Linked DNA regions of Caenorhabditis elegans. The protein of the gene in region 4 interacts with the protein of the main gene of each other region in a pairwise test. Each region holds a gene or a part of one and is shown on either strand. Other genes may lie near its edges. The genes, in order: arrd-6, F54D10.7, gap-3 and cat-4.

What was found.
Region 1: the proteins of cat-4 (region 4) and arrd-6 interact in a two-hybrid assay, tested with the Caenorhabditis elegans proteins (one large-scale study listed by BioGRID).
Region 2: the proteins of cat-4 (region 4) and F54D10.7 interact in a two-hybrid assay, tested with the Caenorhabditis elegans proteins (one large-scale study listed by BioGRID).
Region 3: the proteins of cat-4 (region 4) and gap-3 interact in a two-hybrid assay, tested with the Caenorhabditis elegans proteins (one large-scale study listed by BioGRID).

The regions. Positions count from the first base shown.
Region 1 is NC_003280.10:11,141,107-11,148,911, reverse strand, and holds the start of arrd-6 (Arrestin C-terminal-like domain-containing protein), read right to left. Parts: upstream 6,016-7,805; coding exon 5,956-6,015; intron 3,070-5,955; exon of another isoform or gene 3,002-3,069; intron 1,719-3,001; exon of another isoform or gene 1,494-1,718; intron 1,396-1,493; coding exon 1,336-1,395; intron 1,241-1,335; coding exon 1,045-1,240; intron 714-1,044; coding exon 577-713; intron 522-576; coding exon 172-521; intron 1-171.
Region 2 is NC_003280.10:3,819,624-3,823,031, forward strand, and holds F54D10.7 (Ubiquitin-like domain-containing protein), read right to left. Parts: upstream 1,674-3,408; 5' UTR 1,659-1,673; coding exon 1,548-1,658; intron 1,498-1,547; coding exon 1,078-1,497; intron 863-1,077; coding exon 599-862; 3' UTR 526-598; downstream 1-525.
Region 3 is NC_003279.8:2,007,479-2,012,077, forward strand, and holds the start of gap-3 (SH2 domain-containing protein), read right to left. Parts: upstream 3,048-4,599; 5' UTR 3,002-3,047; coding exon 2,942-3,001; intron 2,780-2,941; coding exon 2,687-2,779; intron 2,621-2,686; coding exon 2,526-2,620; intron 2,482-2,525; coding exon 2,352-2,481; intron 1,293-2,351; coding exon 1,110-1,292; intron 89-1,109; coding exon 1-88.
Region 4 is NC_003283.11:10,562,959-10,566,986, forward strand, and holds cat-4 (GTP cyclohydrolase 1), read left to right. Parts: upstream 1-1,921; 5' UTR 1,922-1,955; coding exon 1,956-2,118; intron 2,119-2,685; coding exon 2,686-2,781; intron 2,782-2,828; coding exon 2,829-3,026; intron 3,027-3,084; coding exon 3,085-3,299; 3' UTR 3,300-3,481; downstream 3,482-4,028. Other genes in the region: vps-54 (Vacuolar protein sorting-associated protein 54), read right to left, coding at 3,697-3,799, 3,846-4,028. UniProt on the Caenorhabditis elegans protein: Involved in serotonin and dopamine biosynthesis that affects movement, mating behavior, foraging behavior, and cell migration.

The DNA.
Region 1 (7,805 bases), on a different chromosome or scaffold from region 4:
TTTGATAGTTTTTTGCAAAACCAAAAAAAACCTAGATATACAAAATATGACATGTTTTCTTTTTAAGCTTCAATTGAGAATATGAAAAATTTTAGATTCTTAAAATTGTATATGTACATTAAAATCTCTGCACGACTCTGCAAATGACATTTCTAAAACCGGCTCACTCACTTGTGCTCGAACACCACACATGACATCATCTTGTTCTCGCCCAAAAGTCCCTTTTCGACAAACACCTCGACGTGCTGCACAAGACGGATAACGAGGCTTTGCGCCGTGGATTGCCTGTTCTCAATCTGGGCTCGGACACGAATGTTCTCGCCGCACACGTACGCCGTCCGCTCCAGAATTATTCGCAGTGCGAGCGCGCCCCGCTGGCAACACCAGCAACAGTTCACTTTTCGATCTTGAGCTGATAATGGGCTTAAATATTTCTCTTCCATACTGTCGATATGTGGACCGATTATCGTAAAATATTTGATTCCCTGAGGAGATGATGCATATGGAATGTCAATTATTACCTGGAATTTTAAAATTAACTGTACTGATTCTACTTCTGAAATATGTATGTAATACCTTGAAATAATATCGAATTGTACAATGCCTACTCTCCAATGAACACGGTAATGAAGATTGTGGGAGGTCAAAGTTGAAGGAAAACTGATGAACTCCGCGAGCAAGAATTGGGACACTGTCTGATTCATCGCTTTTATCTGGAAATTCTGGTGTACGTTAAAAGAAACGTCTAGAAAATCAATAATTATTTTGAATTCAGATTTAAATTAATTTTCATGAACAAGATAAATTTTACAGATTTTCACAAATTTGGTCACGTAATCTGAAACAACCTTTCAAGTACTTTTTCACTACTTCACTTTGAAAGGATACATCTGGGCTTATTTTTGAGATATCAATAAGTTATCAACTACAAAACGATAGAAGGAGGAAAAACAAATATTTAGTTAGTTGACAATTTTTGTATAGGTCGAACGACAACTGGCATATGTATAGGCTGCCAAAGTTGAAGTGTCCATTATCACTCACCTTTCCCCCATAGCAACTGTTTCTCATCCAGCACATATTGATCGTCTTTCAACGTCCTCCGTTCACCAGACTTGACCACTTTCAACGTGGCATGCACTTTGCCACGTAGCAACACCCGAATACCACGTATTTTGATGTTCTCCGTGTTCTCCAACAGCACACTTCCACTGATTGTCTCGCCGGCGTAGTAGACGTCCTGAAATACATACATACATACGTTGTGTGGGGAGGCAATATTTTTGTTGTTGTTTGTGTTTTCCAGCTGTTTGGACTTTTTCTCGCGCGACAAACCTTATTGAGCCTAATGTCGAAACTGGATATGTAGTCCATGCCGGATTTCTGCTCCTCAACCTGGAAGTATTTTTATTAAAAATTAGAAAATTAACACTTTTTGGGCACAAACCAAAAATAATTTCATTCAGGAAAAAAGTAACTCGCACTAGGAATTAAGCATGGTTCAGGTATGTTCAAAATATTCAATGTTTTCGTTTTAGGTTAAAACAGGTTTTTTTGTTAGGATTTCGATGGTAAGCACAGTTTCAGGGCCTGGCGCCTGCCTGAAACCTGCCACTCTCGCGGTTGAGACGCAAGGCAGGCGTAGGTCCCCTTAAGGCCAGACAGGCAGGTAGGTTTCGGTGCCTACATTGAAGCCTCAGGAAAATGAAATAATTTGAATTTGAATTTTCAACGATAATTAATTATATTTATCAGGTCATATGAAAAAAATGTGTTTTGACAATTTGTTTTTGAAAAAAAACTGGAAATTGTGAGAAAAAAAAAGAAGATTAATGGTATTATGGCACGCATAAGATCTAGAAATTTCTTCAGAGAAGACGTAAAAAGTGAAGAATAAGAAGAAGAAAAGGTTTTCTGTGGTGCACGGAGCATCGTAAAGTCGAATCGGAAATGGAAATGAGAGTCACGGTATCTGGTGCTGAGTACTCTCTAATCGGAGAAGAAGAGCCATAAAAAACTTTGAGCTTCTTCTCCTTTCTCTACCTTTCTCTCTCTCTCTCTGTCCTAGTTTGCTAGAAGAATAAGAATTGTTCTTCTGATGCCTCATCTCTCTTTCTCCTCTAATCTTCTGGAATTGTATCTGTCGGAGATGTGGACGAATGGGAGGAAAAAAAAGGAAAAAGAAAGAAGAACTAAACAAAAAGATAGAGATATAATCCCACATTACATACTTAGCCGCGGGAAAAAATATTTTAAAAAATATTTAGAATCTGTTCATGTCCCATCATTGTGACTGGCACTTTAGATGTTTCTACACATTTCAAAAAATAGGAAACTTGGACAAAGGTTACCAACAAAAATTCTGTAATTATTAAATTATTTTTAGGAATATTCCTGAGAAAATACAATAACTTGAAGATTAATTTATTATCAAAATTTTGGAAGCCAGCTTCTGAAACAAATAAGGGTCTCTAAGATGTCGGCCGCAGAATTATGGCAATATTCTTGTTGCTTTGCTCTTGGTTTTTAAATTATACTCATTTAAATAATTTGCAAAACTTCAATAAAAATTGGCCCCTGTAAGCAGTAAGCATTCCGCAAAAAATCATATTTTGGATTTTTGATAATCTTTTTTTGCATAACTCACTATAAAATTCTGTCAAAACACTACAAAATCAGAAAAAAATGTCCTCGTGCTCAGTCACAGCCTACCTACGAACAATATTCCCTTCATCAAATATCCAAATATCACAAGACAGGCTGAATCAGAAACTCCAATTTTTCTCAAGAGAAATCAAAAATTCACAAAACGAATTTTAATAAATTTCCGAGACGCTTTCCCAGAGAAGGGAGAAATTATTATCAGGTGACAAAAAGTGAAGGTTTACCTTCAGGATTGTTATGGAATTGAGATTTGATTTTAGACATGTTTTAAATGGTATAAATAAATATTTCTTAACATTTTCCAGTTCACCAAAAATATGCTGATTTTGGAACGAACCTGCTGTATTCGAATCCTGAGAAAAAATGCACTGAAGTTATTTCAGACTGAATTTTCAGGAGGTAGAGCTTAAATACTTGTGTTAAACCATTGAATACAAAAATTTCCAAATAAGACAGACTTCGTTCTGAAGTCCCAATTTCCTACTTGATTGAAAACGATAGAAAACTTGGAAAAAAGTGCATCTTTGTTTATGGTGACGTGAATTATAGATGCGCGCCGATAGGAAATTGCAATGCTCCGAAAAAAAGAGCAACGCGAAAAAAATAAATTGAAGATTCTGTAATTGCGGGCAGTGAGGGTGGATGCAGAATAGAAGGTCAATAGAATGATAAATAGGGAGAGGAAAAATTATTGGAAAATTAAAGAAAAATTGAATTGTATTTGAGTAGCAGCTATACAGTAACTCCTAGAACTTTCTGGTTTTTTTGGGCTGTTCAAAACTGAAAACTGAAACTCATGAGGTTCACCAAAAGGCGAAATGGTAACTCTTGGAATTTGAATCCAAATTTCTTCGGTCCAATGCTCATTTACCAAAAAAAGTGTCAGGGAAAAAAACGGAAATAGCTAGGTCAAGATATATAGAGACAGAGCGGATATACACGTACATATGAATGAGGAACGAAAAAGCAATAGAATGAGATGGAAAAGAAGAAGAAGGCGTAAAGAAGAGAAAGCAACACAATATCTCTTGTTGGGTGTTTGAGAGCCCCCTCTCCGCCTTTTTGCACACTATTTCCGGCAATTAATGAAGCAGGTAAAAAGGGCAGAAGGCGTTGGAGAGCCTGGGCAAAATGTGTGAAATGAAGTCGAAACTTTTTGGAGCAGCAGCACAGCTCTCGACGACAGCTTCTTGTGTAACATGATACTGGAGAACGACTACTTTGAGTGGATCGAGAGAGAAGGTTGACAAAAGTGGAAGAAAAGGGTTTTTGGGATAAAGGAGATTAGCTGGATATATGGGTAGAGATCTATCGGATTATTCTATAGTGATTACATGATACTATCAAATGGCGGGTATTTACGGGTAAAATCACTTGTTTTCAGAAATTGCAGGGACTTGATTCATTGTGTAACAAAACTATAATATTTGGAATCATTTTAAAAATTTCTTTTTTTTTTAGAATTACGAGTTTCAACGGATTCAAAGGTGTTGAGGCACCGGTCGGCTTCTGCTACTTGCCTGGTCAGAAAAGAAAAATGGGGATTGAAGCAGGGGTGGGCGGCAATAGACGTTTGGCAAACTTTTTTGTCGACAAATTTGGCAGTTCGACAATTTGCCCGTTTGCTTTGCTGGAAATGTTCAATTCCGGCAATTGGCCGATTTGCCGATTTGCGAAAAAAAAATCGTTTACCTGGTTTGAATATCGGTCTCAAGGACCTTTGTGAACTTCTACACAAAAAGTTTAAAGTTTCACGGTTTACAATCTGGAAACTAATACCAATGAGTTTATCAATTTGCAAGCATCAAGTCCGCCGAAAATATTTTAGTATTTTCCTGGCAATTATTTTGTTTCTGGGATTCTGTAACTGTACTATTTTAAAAATTTTCTTCTGGGATTTCTCTTTTATTTTGAAGGGAAATCTTGGGTCTTCTAAGAAAATGTGCGCTAGTATTTATGTTGCTATTGGATTTTGCGATTTCGGAAGTCTTTCCGATTTTACAAGAAATTTTCAAAAATGCAACAAAATCGCAACGTCGGTGCTCAAAACTGGAAACATCAAATTTTCCGGATGCATACCAGACTCCTCCTCCCATTCTCTCTCTCTCTCTCTCTCGTTTTTGCGATAGAAAATGTAATAAGCAAAGAGAGCTAAATCCATGGCAACGCGATAAATCTCATGAGACATGTCCCGGTCAGGATGAGATGGAAAACCAGTCGACAAAAAAATAGAAGAATTGAAAGAGAGAAAGATAGAGTCGAATACAATTTGTAAAGACCCGAAGAGCATGTATATGTGTGTGACGAAAAATAAGATGAAGACGAAGAATGAATGAATTTTATAATGAACACAGTAAACATATAGTGATTACTCATTGTCAATGAGCACAGTGGAAGAAAAAATGTTTTTTTGGAAGATGGGATGGAACAAGTGATTGTTAGAAAATATTATTTTATTCCATAGTTTTCAAAAATTAAGAAAAAACCGACGTAAGCCCTTTTTGGGGGAAAGTTTAAAAATTCGAACTAAATTCGAAACTTTCGAACATTCGAACTTTTTTTTTATTTTGAAAATTGTTATTCTGTTCTAAATTACTTAAATGAAGATCAACTCTTTGAGTAGATTTCCCTTAATTTTCTCTGAAGAAAGCCAATCAAAATCAGTCAAAATTTATCAAAATTTGTTCCAAAACTTGAAAAAAATTAGGCGATTTTTTCAATTAATTAACTAAGTTTGAACTGGATTAGAATTATTGTAAAAGTGTAAAAGTTCAAAAGAAAAAATTCCATACAGTATCGAATCTAAAAATATTTTAGAAAGTTGAAATTTGAATGGCTTTTGCTCCAAAGCTTTAAAAAATTATATAATAGTGATTTATCAGAATCTTCTATTTGTGTGCAATTTGAGACTAATTAATTTTCTCAAATTTCAGACAATTCCAAAAATTGATTTTAAAACATTTGAGGAAGTCTTTCGTAGTTAACTATAGTTGATTATCTGCTTTTCAAATTAAACCAATAGCAACTAGGATATGAGCACTCAAAAACGAAAAGTGAGGGTACAAGACAAATCGGAAAAATACAGTGAACTAAAAATTTGATTTTTCAAGTATTAGAAACCGGATTTGTTTTGCAGTTTTGCGAATAAAATTGAGTTCACATAGTGTGAAATAAAACGAAAATTTTCACAGACAAAATATGCACGAGAATGAATGAAAAATTGGTTGGAACGAGAAACAGGAAAGAATGCCCTTTTTGCTCATTTGATGAACGTTCCTCTTGGGATCTGACCTGGAAATAGTGCTTCTCGAGTAGCGTACTGATCATTGTTTCCTTCTTTTCTTCAGCCATATCCTCCTCCTGATTTCCTTCACGTGTGTGCCTCTATTTCCAGCTTGCTCTCACCCGGCTTTTTTCTAATCAGATTGAGTACTTCTTGGGACGAATAGGGTGAAAAGGAGTGTGTGGAGGAGCAACAAAAAAAGAGACTATGTAGTGCAAACAGCACTCTTCGAGATTTATGTCGACTCGGACTCGACCCCATGGTCCCAGTGGGAAATTGAGCAAAAAGCGCGGCAATGAGGAGCAATGGGCACACGCGTGGAGGATAGGCACGAGGAGTTGAAAAGCAGAAAAGAAGGAAGAAGTATCATCAAAAAATGGAAGTGTTTTGGCATGATTTTATGACGTATGTAGATGCAGCCATGGTAATCGATATAACTTCACAAATTACCAAAACTCAAGGAGAGACATTTTGAACTTAAAAAAAAGAAGAAAAGAAGGAAACAATGATGATGATCAAAATCTAGAGCTGAAGTTTCGAGAAATTTGTAGTTTAAAATAATTTCAAAACTACTCAAATTTACGAATCGACTCAAATAGCATAGCCGCCGAATTTCAATAAGCCCTCAACCTATATATGCCCTAGACAGGTGATATGTTAAACCGATAAGGTTGGTGATTTGTATGTATGTATTTCTGGCATTTGGCACTCTTTGCATACTAGATTTGTGGACTGACATAGAACTTCTGTCATCAACAACCCACGCACATTTGAGAATTGGAAAATTTTTGATTGAAATTTGAAGTTTGACAGAACCAGCAGGGCTTACAAGAAAATAAAAAATTAAAGGTATTATAATATTTGAAAAATGGAAAAATTGATTTTTAACAACTGTTATTTATGTTTGATACTATAAGGTTAATTGCAAAAAAATGCAAAAAAGTATAAAAGTGAAGAAAAAAATTACAAAAACCTATTGCCCGAAAAAAAATGTGGTCGAAAAAATTGAGGGCACTAAAAATCACAAGCAAGAATATCAAATAAAATTTTTTCACATGTAAAAAATTATGCTCTTGCGATTTTAATTATTTATGTTTATGAAATAATCGAAGAAATTACAATCTATCATATTATAATTCTATAAATTGTATCTAGTTTGTTGAACAAAGTTTTGGCAAATTACCAAAATTTGGAAACTGTGGTTTTTCAGAAATTTAAAAAATGTCGCATGGATAAACCTCTAAAATGTTTGACTACACATGCATTTTAAAAAAACAACACAGTTAGTGTCTAGAATAAATATCAAAAGTTGTTCTCTTATTTTTTAAAAACCTCTAGTCAGAAAACACATCCACCCACGCCATTAGGGAAAAAAAAGCTTCTTGATGAAATGCCATACACTTACTCACTCGTTCCAACTTGACAAGTTCGGAATGTGTAAATAAGGTTTATCAAACTCCTAGTCTTATAGCTTTTTGAAACCAGTTTATGTGACAATTATATAAATGTACAATTTGAGCTGAAATATTTAAAAAGCCAAGAAGTCAATTTGCTAAAAAGCTATATATGTATAAGAAAATCAAAGTCGGCAACACCAAAAGATCTCAAGATTTGGTTGACAGATTCTTGGTTATCAAGGAAATTGGAATTGAGAAACGAGAGAGGGACTGAGGAAGAGAAAGTCAGGTGCACAGAGAGTCCAAAAGTGGTCAGGAAATTAGAAGAGGGTAGAGCTCGGGTTGAAAATAAAAGAAAATGAATAGAAAAAGCAGAATGTGAGGACAAGAAATTGATGAAGAAGGTTGATGAGGGTGAAGAAAAAAAGAAACTGGGAGAGAAAAGCACAATGAGCCGAGAA
Region 2 (3,408 bases), on a different chromosome or scaffold from region 4:
GAACTGTTTCAAAGCTTCACTCCATTCGCGCTTGCCGTCACGTGTCAGTTGGAAGAGGATTTTCGCGTCGTTCGTCGGCAAATTTTCATGTACAGCAGCCTCTGGTTTTCGAGAAATTTCGTTCTTAATGGATGCTCTCCTTCATTTCATCACGATGTTTTTGAAAAGCCTCCATCATTGCTTTATTGAATTTTTCTTGATTTGCCTGATGTTCCTTTCGCTCGACTTCCAGTTTTCGAACGGCTTCCATGATTTCCTTGTTGAGTTTTGTCTGCTCTTCAATGACTTTCTCAAGCTGCGAATCGGATACAATGCCCGAGTTTTCTGGCTTCTGGAAAAGTAGAATTTATTAGGTGCTAACAAAATAAGTGTTACCTTTCCAAGAGCCAAACCAATATCTGCAGTCTCCATGCGAAGTTTTTGGAATTCAGACATCAAATTGTCCGAGCGGAAATTCGACATGGTCGCCGAGATTTGGAGAAATGAATTTAATTGGTAGCAGAAAAATTAATTGATTCACGTTTTTTTGAATAAAACATTTATCTTTCTTTTAATCAAATAATAATAATATCCACATTCAACAATAAAGTTCAATAAATTAACAACAACATTCACAATCTTCATCACACTTTTCATCAGTATGTTGCTTGATGACAGAACCGTCCTTAATTCCAGCTTCCTCAAGAGTTTGATTATACTGAAGCTCCTTGTCATTGAGCATGAGACGTTGGCGATGCAGTGCGAGGCCACCGTGCTTCAGGAGGGCCATTCCGACCGTGTAGATTGTGTCAAGGGAGTCCAGTTCCATCGGGATTCGGCTTCCGTGAAGGATAACATTGAACTTTATGTTTTTCGAGCCAATCTGAATAATTTTTTTGCTAAATTTACGGGCCAGGGGTGGGCGGCAATTGACAAATTTTTTTGTCGGCAAATTCGGCGAATCGGTTAATTGCCGGTTGGCCGATTTGCCGTTTCTGGCAAGTTTCCGATTTGCCGTTTGCCGAACATGAGATTAAGCCTATGCCTAAGATTAAGCCTAAGCCTCAAGTAAGGAACACAATCATCTCATAAAATTACCTTTCTCCGGATGGCTTGAGTATCCTCAGTCACTTTCTTGAAAAATTCCCTCTGTGCCTCTTTCATAGCATCGAGTCCAGTTTGGAGCAACTTGATCGCATCCAAAACATCATTCTCCTCCTCCTCATCTTCGTCTTCAGAGGTCTCATTATCCTCATCAAGCTTCTCAAACAGCTCCTCCTTGAAAATCTCCAAATCATCGCTGAACTCCTCCTTCTCCCGAGCAAACGCCTTCTTCATAGATCTGATTGCGTCGAGCATTTCTTTGTTGAAAGCGTCTTGGATCTTCTGACGCTTCGAACGTTCGATGGACATTTTCTGAATCGCTAGCATCAGTTTCTGGTTGACTTTATCCTGATTTTCACAAAACTTGTCAAATTTGGAAATGCTCAAGGACGTGATCGAACCGATGGTGGGACCCTGGAATTTGGAATAAATATTAATAAGGCCGATACAATTCAAATTCAAACTTTCTCAAGGAAATTATTGATTCCAGCAGTTTCAGATCGCAAATTTTCAAACGCCGACATCAAATCCGACGGTCCATCTTTATTGGTAGATTTTCCAACAGTTGGGGGCATTGCAGAGGTTATTTTCTGGAATTTAATTAAATTTTAAAATAACAAGAAAAACGGGAAAAGGACACACAAAAAAACAAATCAATGAGAGAATGAGCCTCTCCCCTGCATACCGATTGTAAAAGGGGATCGGAAATCGCCTCGTGGCAAGTGACCCACTTTATTGGTGCGCGGCGGGGAGATCAATTTTTTTTTGGCATTTTTGAAGATTATTAAAACAAAGAACCACAAAAAATGTAGTTGTCCTGCGCCTTACAGATGAAAAATGCAGAAACTCAATATATGAGCGGAGCAACTTGTCATCTAATATGTACGTGATCTTTCAACGATCAGTTACTAAATAAAAATTTCGAGTTTTCATTTCCTTTCCGGCCCAGACCATTTTGCAAAGTCCCGGTCATACTCTAAAGATGGCAAACTCAGATAGCATTTCTTTCTTTGCCGTCTACCGTCTCTGCCAGGGGTGTGCGGCAAATCTCAAAATTTGCCGAGCTCGGCAAATTCGGCAAATCTATTTTTCCAATATTTGCCGAGCACGGCAAATTCGGCAAATTCGGCAAATTTGCCGTGCTTAACAAACTCGGAAAAATTATATATTTTTTGATATTTTTTGGAGCACCAAAACTACTGAATTCTTAACACACCTCTGGTTTCTGAACAAGTTAGGTGTAGTGTGTCTGCTTAAACATCAAAATAACTCAATTTGTTGTCATTTTACTAAATTTTTGGCGAAAAAATCAACAGTTTTAGTCAACATTGTACTGTCAAATTTTTGACGTATGCGGCAAATTTCGAAATTTGCCGAGCTCGGCAAATTCGGCAAATCTACTTTTTTGAAATTTGCCGTGCTCGGCAAATTCGGCAAATTCGGCAAATTTGCCGCACACCCCAAAATCATCATTATTGGCAGCAGAGACTCTCTGCTGCCAATAATGATGATTTTAATTTGTTTTAAAATTGATTTTTTTTGTGCATCTTCAAACTGACGTATCTCGAAAAATACACATCTGGAAAACAAATGTTTAACTAACAAAATGATCAGAAATATTTTTTCTTTTTAATTCATTAATTTTTATCTCAATACACCAACTTTTTGTAGAGTTAAGTAGAGACATCAAAGCCATTTTACCAAAAATCACAAAAAATTTTGAGAACTCCTTTGCTGTACCCGTCATAACCCTACGCCCATCAAATTTGAAAAGATAAATTTTGTTGGATAAAAAGTAAAAAATATTTCTCCACGTTTTATTAGTTTTAAGATTTTTGATATTTTCATGTTCCGCCAAGTTACAGACCGTTTTTCGAAAAAATCCAATTTCGCTCATAAAACTCTTCATATCCAACGTAAAAACTTGAAATTTTGAAAAATGATCACTTTTTTGAGGTCTCTACAATGTCCTAAAAAATCTTTCAAAAAATCCTGCCCATCTCCAAAATCGTCCTTCGCTCCGAAAAATGAAATCGGACTTTTGCTTCTCGAGAAATGGGCGAAAAAATCAAATTGCGATTTTTGGGTCGAAAAAAATATTTTTAGAAAGCTGAGAACACGCTATTTACGAATTTCGTGTTCATTTTAATTGATTCCTTCTCTGAAATGACCTAAAAATTAAACAAAAAGAACATAATTTTAATTCTCACGTAAAATTTTTTGGCATGTTGCTCAGTGCTTCAATTGTTTTCTTGCGAATAAAAAATTGACGTGAGAATTAAAATTATGTTCTTTTTGTTAAATTTTTAGGTCATTTCAGAAAAG
Region 3 (4,599 bases), on a different chromosome or scaffold from region 4:
ATGTGCCAATGGGGCTGTATTGCACCATGTCCGTGGATACTGTATCGTAGAAGTACGGTAGATCCGACAAATCGGCCACCTCTGTGATCTGTAAAAGCACGGAATCTGAGAATTTCACGCGGTGTTGTAGAGTGTCTCTTGATCTACGCTGATCTACAAAAAAAAGCGGCAGAGCTCTCAACTGATTTCGCATGGTTAAGAGCGTGCTGAAGAAGCCACATTTTTTTGGAAAAAAAATTCCCGCATTTTTTGTAGATCAAACCGTAATGGGACAATCTGACACCACGTGAATTATCGAATTTTCCAAAAATTTGGCAAATTATTGATTTTCTTGAATAGTGTTAATTTATTGATTTTTCTGCCCCCGAAAATCGAGATTTATCGATTTTCTCAAATAGTGTTAATAAATTGGAGAAATCCAGCTTGGACCAAAAAAAAAAAATTTTTTTGTTTTTTTTTTCAGCAGGCAGGCATTAGGTAGGCAATTTATAAATGGGTCTCGCCGCGATTTTGTACCAAAATAAGTGTATTTGGTACGCCAAAGCCTACATTAGATATTACGGGAACACAAAATTCTGAAAATGCGTATTGCACAACATATTTGACGCGCAAAACATAAAAATATCTCTTAGCGAAAACTACAGTAACCCTTTAATTGACTACTGTAGCGCTTGTGTCAATTTACGGAAATCATTTATTAATCAATAAAATTAAATTTTAAAAGAAAACTCAAAAATGACATTTCGTAATTTTTTTTTGCCATTTTTGTGTTTTCTTTTAAAATTTAATTTTATTGATTAATAAATGACTTCCGTAAATCGATACAAGCGCTACAGTAGTCAATTAAAGGGTTACTGTAGTTTTCGCTACGAGATATTTTTATGTTTTGCGCGTCAAATATGTTGTGCAATACGCATTCTCAGAATTTTGTGTTCCCGTAATATTAGCACAATTTCGCCTTTTTTAATTAATTTTTTAAATTTTTTGTAGAAAATTGTGAAAAAAAACGTAACATTTTTTTGCTTAAAAATTGTAATTTTTCATCAGTTTTTTCCTAGAATTTTCAAATTTTCAGTTAGAAATTTCCAGTCTTTCCTACTTTTCCCTACCAAAGGTTCCAAATGTGATCTTAAAATAATTCCAACGGAACCGCTCGTCTCATTTCGTCCTAACATCCATCCGGTCTCGTCGGTCTCACAAACTGACAGAATATCACCGATTTCCGAGTTCATTTCGTCGATTTCGCGTTGTTCGAATCGTCTAACGCATAGGTACTTGGTTTCTTGGATTTCCTGGAAACAAATTTTATGGTATATTAAAATTCCGGCATGCACGGGGTGCCAGCGACTGTCCCATTACGTTTTGATCTACAAAAAATGCGGGAATTTTTTGCAAAATCAGTTGAAAACTCTGCCGCATTTTTTGTAGATCTAAGTAGATCAAACCGAAATGAGACCACGTGGACATGTTTGCGCGTTAAATTTGATCTACTCGATTACGGACTCAATACACCATATTTTACGCGCAAAAACTACTACTATTACAGATAATTCTACAAAACTTTATATTCGTGTATATCGATATTCTGACCAATTCGTCATATTTGACGCACAAATTATAAATTATTACGGGAAGACTAAATTCTGAGAATGCGTATTACACAACATATTTGACGCGCAAAATATCTCGTAGCGAAAACTACAGTAACCCTTTAAATGATTACTGTAGCGCTCTTGCGTCGATTTACGGAAATCATTTATTAATCTATAAAATTAAATTTTAAAAGAAAACACAAAAATGGCAAAAAATAACGAAAAAACCAATGAGAATTGTATTTTTTTGCCATTTTTGAGATTTCTTTTAAAATTTAATTTTATTGATTAATAATTGACTTCCGTAAATCGACACAAGCGCTACAGTAGTCAATTAAAGGGTTACTGTAGTTTTCGCTACGAGATATTTTGCGCGTCAAATATGTTGTGTGATACACATTCTCAGAATTTTGTGTTTTCGTAAGACATGGAGTAATTTAATTGTTTTTTTAAATTAAATTTGCGCGTTAAATTTGATCTACTCGATTACAGACTCAAGACACTCTATTTTACGCGCAATATTATAAATTTCTTTTTTTTCTCTGAAAAATCACTTTAAAATCCAACAAATTATCCAATAATGCAAAAATTTGCGCGTCAAATATGGTGTATCACACGTGGTGTCAGAGTGTCTTATTTTGGCTTGAATAAAGTTGATCTACAAAAAATGCGGCAGAGTTCTCAACTGATTTGGCATGTTTTTGGGCGAAAAATTCCCGCATTTTTTGTAGATCAAACCGTAATGGGGCAAAAAAATACCCCATTAATCGGCATAATTCCTCCTTTTCGAACTGGAATCACAGCCAGCTGATAGGCATCTACAATATCTCGAAGGGTCTCGAAACGCTTTCCTTCGAAAAAGTAGTGAGGTGGGGTGAGTTGGCGGATGCTGAAAAAAATTTGAATTTTAAATTTTTATGTTTAAAAACCAACGGTAAATGTTTCGGATAGCCGTCTTGATCCAATATCGACAGATAAAATCTCGTCTGGCCAGTTTGCCGAACCAAAAACGCGCCGGGAGATGTGCCCTGGAATGTTTTGCCGGTTTTTTGCCATTTTTTGCCATTTTTTTTGTAATTTTTCGCAAAAGAAACCTGAAGCAAATGATTGGCATCGTGTTCGTTTAATTCCCCATGGTACCACACATCGTTTGGCGATATATCAGGCGGTGTTGGGTTCGTGTGAGTCTGCGAAAAAACAATTCCTTTTTTTTAACTTAGGATTTTTTAGAATATTTTAAACTGTAAATATAATTGATTTTCGATGAAAATAAATAATATAAATGGTATTTTTCTAATTTTTTCTAATTTTTCCTTTTTTTCCTCGATTTTCACTTGTTTCGCCCTCACTTTTAGAAACAATGGCCCTTCCGTGCTGCTGTTAGGTGTAGTATTCTCGCTTGAGTGCATAACTTTTCATTTGCACCTGAAAAATGCCAAAAAATTATTGATTTTCATCAAAAAACAGGAAAACAAATTCAAAAAAATGCGAAAAATCGGACGGGTACGCAATTTTGCGTGACGGTGTACGTACTGGGGAAATGGAGGGAAATTTGAATTTTAATTAATTTTCGATGATTTTCGATGAAAAAACCTGATTTTCAGGTAGAAAATTAGAGTTTTAAACCAAAATTTTGTTTGGAAATTCGAAAATTTGCGCTGGAAGCTAAAAAAAAACAATATTTAATTGTCTTGGCCTGATTTTGGAATGTGAATTCCATAGATATCAACTCCGCAAATGTTTTTTTTTTCTTATTTTTATCGTTTTCAGCTAATTAGAAAACTTTTTTTTTAATTTTAGGTGAAAAAATGCAAAGTTTCATCGAAAAGTACTAGAAAATGTTTAAAAAATACAAAATCCGGAGGAGGCAGTGGAAAGTGAACTCCGTAGATTTCAACTCCGTGGGATTAATCCCAGTTTTGCTAATTTTCAGTCTATTTTTTAAATTTTTAATTTGAAAACAAAACGTTTTTTTTAATTCCTTTTTAAAAAACCCATCGAAATGGAAAAAAAACCCGGGGAAGGCAGTGGAATTTGAATTTGGTAGATTTCAACTCCGTGGAATCAAGCTTGAACAATTTCAATAAAAATTCAAAGTTTCCTCAAAAAAAAAGGTGGTAAACGGTAGGAAATAGGTTGTGAATAAAGTGATAAAAGTTGAAGAAAAGAAATCGAAAGAGAAGGGGGGAGAAAAGGACGCATATTATTACACCCACGCAGTCTTCTTCTTCTTCTTTCTCACAATATACACACACACACACAGACACCAGATCACTTTTCTGTGTGTGTGTATATGTGTCTGCGTCTCTACCACGAATCACTGTCTCTCTCTCGGTTTTCTGTGTCTCTTGTACAGCGAGAGAGAGAGCACCGGAAGTTCGGATGATGGACCATTTGTGAAAGTGGGAAATGGAGGACGGAGAACACGGAAAGTTTTGGAATTTATTCAAATATTTTGGGTAATACCTAAAAATAAAGAATTTTCGTGAAAAAAATTGTCGTTGTGATAACAGATAACACAGTGATAACAAGACATGTGATTAAAAATTATGTTTTTTTTTTGAAAATTTTATTTTTTACAGCTGGAAAAGTTTAAACGTGTACACGTGGTGTCAGAGTGTCTCTTATTTCGGTTTGATCTACGTTGATCTACAAAAAATGCGGGAGAAGAGACGCATAGTTTTCAACTGATTTTGCATGGTTAAGAACGTGCTGACGTCACATTTTTTTGGGCGAAAAATTCCCGCATTTTTTGTAGATCAAACCGTATTGGGACAGCCCCTGGCACTACTTGCGTGTGGAGACAGCGCCAAAACACCACATGGTGTATTGGCTGCGCCTACTTTTTCAATGAAATTTTACATTTTTAGAGCAGTTTTGCCGTAAAATTCAGCTGTTTTTTATTGTTTGAAGAAAAAAAGGAAAATTAATGGGACAAGTACCAGCTCCTGCTCCTCCGGGCTTCTTCTTTTTTTCTTTTTTTTTGCCAATTATTATTACTCGGAGG
Region 4 (4,028 bases):
TTACTTGTTCTCTATGTTTCTGACGTAATCGCCGTCACTTAATTAATCCCGCAAACTCCTTTTGTGCACGATCTTATCTCAAAGGTGACAATTCAAAGTTCCTGAACCAATTTATCATGCAATGATTATAAACTCCATATAAATTGCGGCTTCAATTGGTAGTACATCATTAGCGGCGGCATTTTGCTTATGCTCTTATCTTATTTATAGTTCAACCTAATAAATTGCGGGGAACTTCCTCTACGAGTGTTACGGTATTATTTGGCAGTACTTTTCAGTAACAACTTTCGATTTTAATTTTTTACTTTTCAAGAATATTGACAATAGCTCAGTTTTTTCAAATAGTTCTTTTTGATTCTCAATCTCTAACTCTGAAGAACCAAAAGTTATGAGAGACTTCGAATAACCCAAAAAATCCTGATCATAACAAAATAGTATTTCAAGTTTTCTTGTTTTCATTCGTCATCACCTCCTCCCAACTTGTACCCAATCAGCCCAGAAATCGCAAATATAAGAAACGATATCTGATGAAAAAGAACTAGAAAACTAGGAAAACATTTACAAGTTCGAAACGCCTCTTCCCTCATCTTCAGCTGATTTTGGAACCGTTCTCGTCATTTCGTGTGAATGTCATCAAAACACATCGAGTCTGCCGGGAAAAAAAAGGCGTGGGTTTGATCTTTCTACTAGCTTTAACTGTTTCAACGAAATTCTTATGTAGGTAGTTAAGTAGAAGAATAGAAGAAAGTGAGTGTACTTCTTTAGACCCCTCAATTCTTTTCATTTTCTTTCTTTACTTTCTCATTTTTCCACCTGATGATGACTTAGAAAGGAAAGTAGTTAAAATTTTACAATTTTTGAAAACCGAAACTGTTGAATGAAATCGTTCCCAAATTTGAGGTCCTACTTTTTTGACATGGTGAAATATTAGAAATTGTATTTTATTTTTGTGGCTGTTGGCAGTATATATGAGAGTTTAACACGGTTTCTGTGTTGTACTAAACTCATTAGTAATTTTTTTGCCAGAATCTAGTTTATTTTTCAGATTGGTTGTTTCGATGAGTAATATTATTAGGTGTGATGAGTTTTAAAAATAGGAGGAGTATATTCTACCACATGTGATCCTATTATTGTTTTTAAATAACTTCCCAGGAGGACCATTTGATGAATTTCGTGAGAAATATATGTGAAGTTTGATAAATTCCAAATTTCGTTTTGAATATAAAGTTTCTCAATTTTTTCGATTGTAGTGCATGAAAGAGTAACTTGTAGATATTAATCTGCCAAAGTTTCGGCAACAAAACTGATAGTGAACTAGAAGTCCACGTGAGTGAAGGTCTATATCATTCCTCGCTGATTTACGATCCTTCTCTCTGTATCTCCTCAGACCAGTCCACTTTTTCTTTTCTTGTTGCGCCTATCCACCTAATCAATCGGTTTCATTTTCTTTTTACATGTTCCTTTTGTTTGCATAAATAAATTATTCTTCCTCCACATTTTCCTGAATACCTAGAAGTGCTGCCATGAAGGAATGGCGGAAAACGATTGATGTATGGGACGACGTCTTCCGTTTCTTTTTCGATTTTTTGCTATTTTCTTATTCTTTTTTTCTCATTTTTTCACATAAGTGGGAAAAGATGATGAAGTCTATCCATTCGACTAGATTGATTTCCTTCTGTCCCTTCATTTTGCCTATTTTTTCCCAGAATACCTTTCATAATACATGACGTGTTGTACCTTTTTTTTTCGTAATTTCTTCTTTCTTGCTTGGACATTGCACATATTCGGTTTCATCCGGCAATTATTTGAATGTCTATCCTTTCTTTTTGTCGCCTACGCTTTCTCAGCTTTCTTAAGATTTACCCACGGCTCATTTTCAATATCACCTTATTTCACTCACTTACTCAATCAATGTTTTCAGGCTTTACCCACTCTATCAACATCATAATATCAAAATGTCCAGAATTGAGAACGAAAGCGGATTTTTGTCATCTGACGCCGCAAGTGTTGGATCCGAAGACGATAAAGTTGAGATGAAGAAAAGAAACGGAACGATTCCAAAGGAAGATCATTTGAAATCAATGTGCAATGCCTATCAGAGCATCATTCAACATGTCGGTGAGTTCATGTGATTCTTTGGTTCGGAAAGTATTAGTCGATCAACAACAAATTTAAAATAAGCTGTTTAAGAATAGATTATAGAGTTCTGAAAACGTACTGTCAACTGTTTACGTCAGCAGAATTAGGAAAACTTTGGTTTCGATAAACATTTCAACACACTTTTTGATTCATTCTAGAGATTATAATGTTTTAGCATTTATTCATTATCAGTGACTCAAAGAATATTGATAAATATTTTCCCAAATATAAATTTGACCAAGATGTTTTGAAAGTCGATGATCTATAACTGATAGTTGTTATTGTCTGGAAGGAAGTTCAGTTCAATATATTCCACTCTCAAATCAAAAATCAAGATCGAAAATTGTTTTAATTTAAAGACTCATGACAAATTGTAATCTATTACATCACGCAATCAAGGTACCCTAGCACATCATCAGGAACTTGTGATTTCAATTGATATATCTATAACATAAATCAGAAAAAAATAGGTTGTGTCCGTTGATTATAAGGGAAAAAATGAAAACAAAATACATTTTCCCACGTTGACTGATTTTGGGAATTCAGGAGAAGACATCAATCGTCAGGGACTTCTGAAAACTCCAGAACGTGCTGCCAAAGCAATGATGGCATTCACAAAGGGATACGATGATCAACTTGATGGTCAGTTATAGCAATACAACGTTAAAGCTCAAAGTTTCATTTTTCAGAGCTCCTCAACGAGGCAGTATTCGACGAGGATCACGATGAGATGGTTATTGTGAAAGATATTGAAATGTTCTCCCTTTGTGAGCATCATTTAGTTCCATTTATGGGAAAAGTTCATATTGGATACATTCCAAACAAGAAGGTTCTTGGTCTGTCCAAGTTGGCAAGAATAGTCGAGATGTTCAGCAGAAGACTTCAAGGTAAATTGAGAAATTACATTTTTGATTGGAACCTAACCTAAACGTTCAAATATTTCAGTCCAAGAACGTCTTACAAAGCAAATTGCCACCGCAATGGTTCAAGCTGTACAACCATCCGGAGTTGCAGTTGTTATTGAAGCTAGTCACATGTGTATGGTAATGAGAGGAGTTCAAAAGATCAATGCTTCCACCACAACATCCTGCATGTTGGGAGTATTCCGTGACGATCCAAAGACTCGCGAAGAATTCCTTAATCTTATCAACAAACGCTAAAAATTCTAGTCATTTCCTTTTTTACTTGTTTTTTTGGGTTTTAACTGTTACTAACTTTTCATAACTTTCCATGTGAATCTACTAACATCTTATGCTTCAGCTTTTTAAATTCATACAACATGTTCATTGCCTGGATACTGTAATATGCTTTTATTGTACATGCAATAAATTACTAAATACCAGATAAATAAAAACAAAAACAATTAACTGGGAAATGAAAGTGATAAAGCTAGCCCAGAAGCACAAACTAAAAAATTAGGAATGAAGGACCAGTGAATTGGGGAAGTTTACAGAAGAAGCGTGAAATAAAAGCCACCGTAATTAGTCAAACAATCACAATCATACACAAGAAATAAACCAGATTGAAAATTAAATAAATATTTTACAAAGAAAAGTCCTATTCAAACATAATGTCATTAAGCGACTCGAGCTCCAAATTACGGCAACTTTCCATGTTTTTCACATTTTGTTGATAAAACATGTAATCTTTTGTGACATATCTGAAAATAGTACATTATAGTTGAAATTTCAGTAATTTATTCTTACCCGTATTTTAAAGGGTCATGAGGTGTGATACCCATTCCAGTGACGTGTTCTCGTAAGTTGGCTTTAAAGTTTTCGTGTACTTGACGGAACAACGCCTCGATCTGATCTCTTGGCATGATGCCAACCAGTCCATTGTGGAATTTCAGCATATGGCGACAAATTTGTTGAAATTCTGGCGATGGA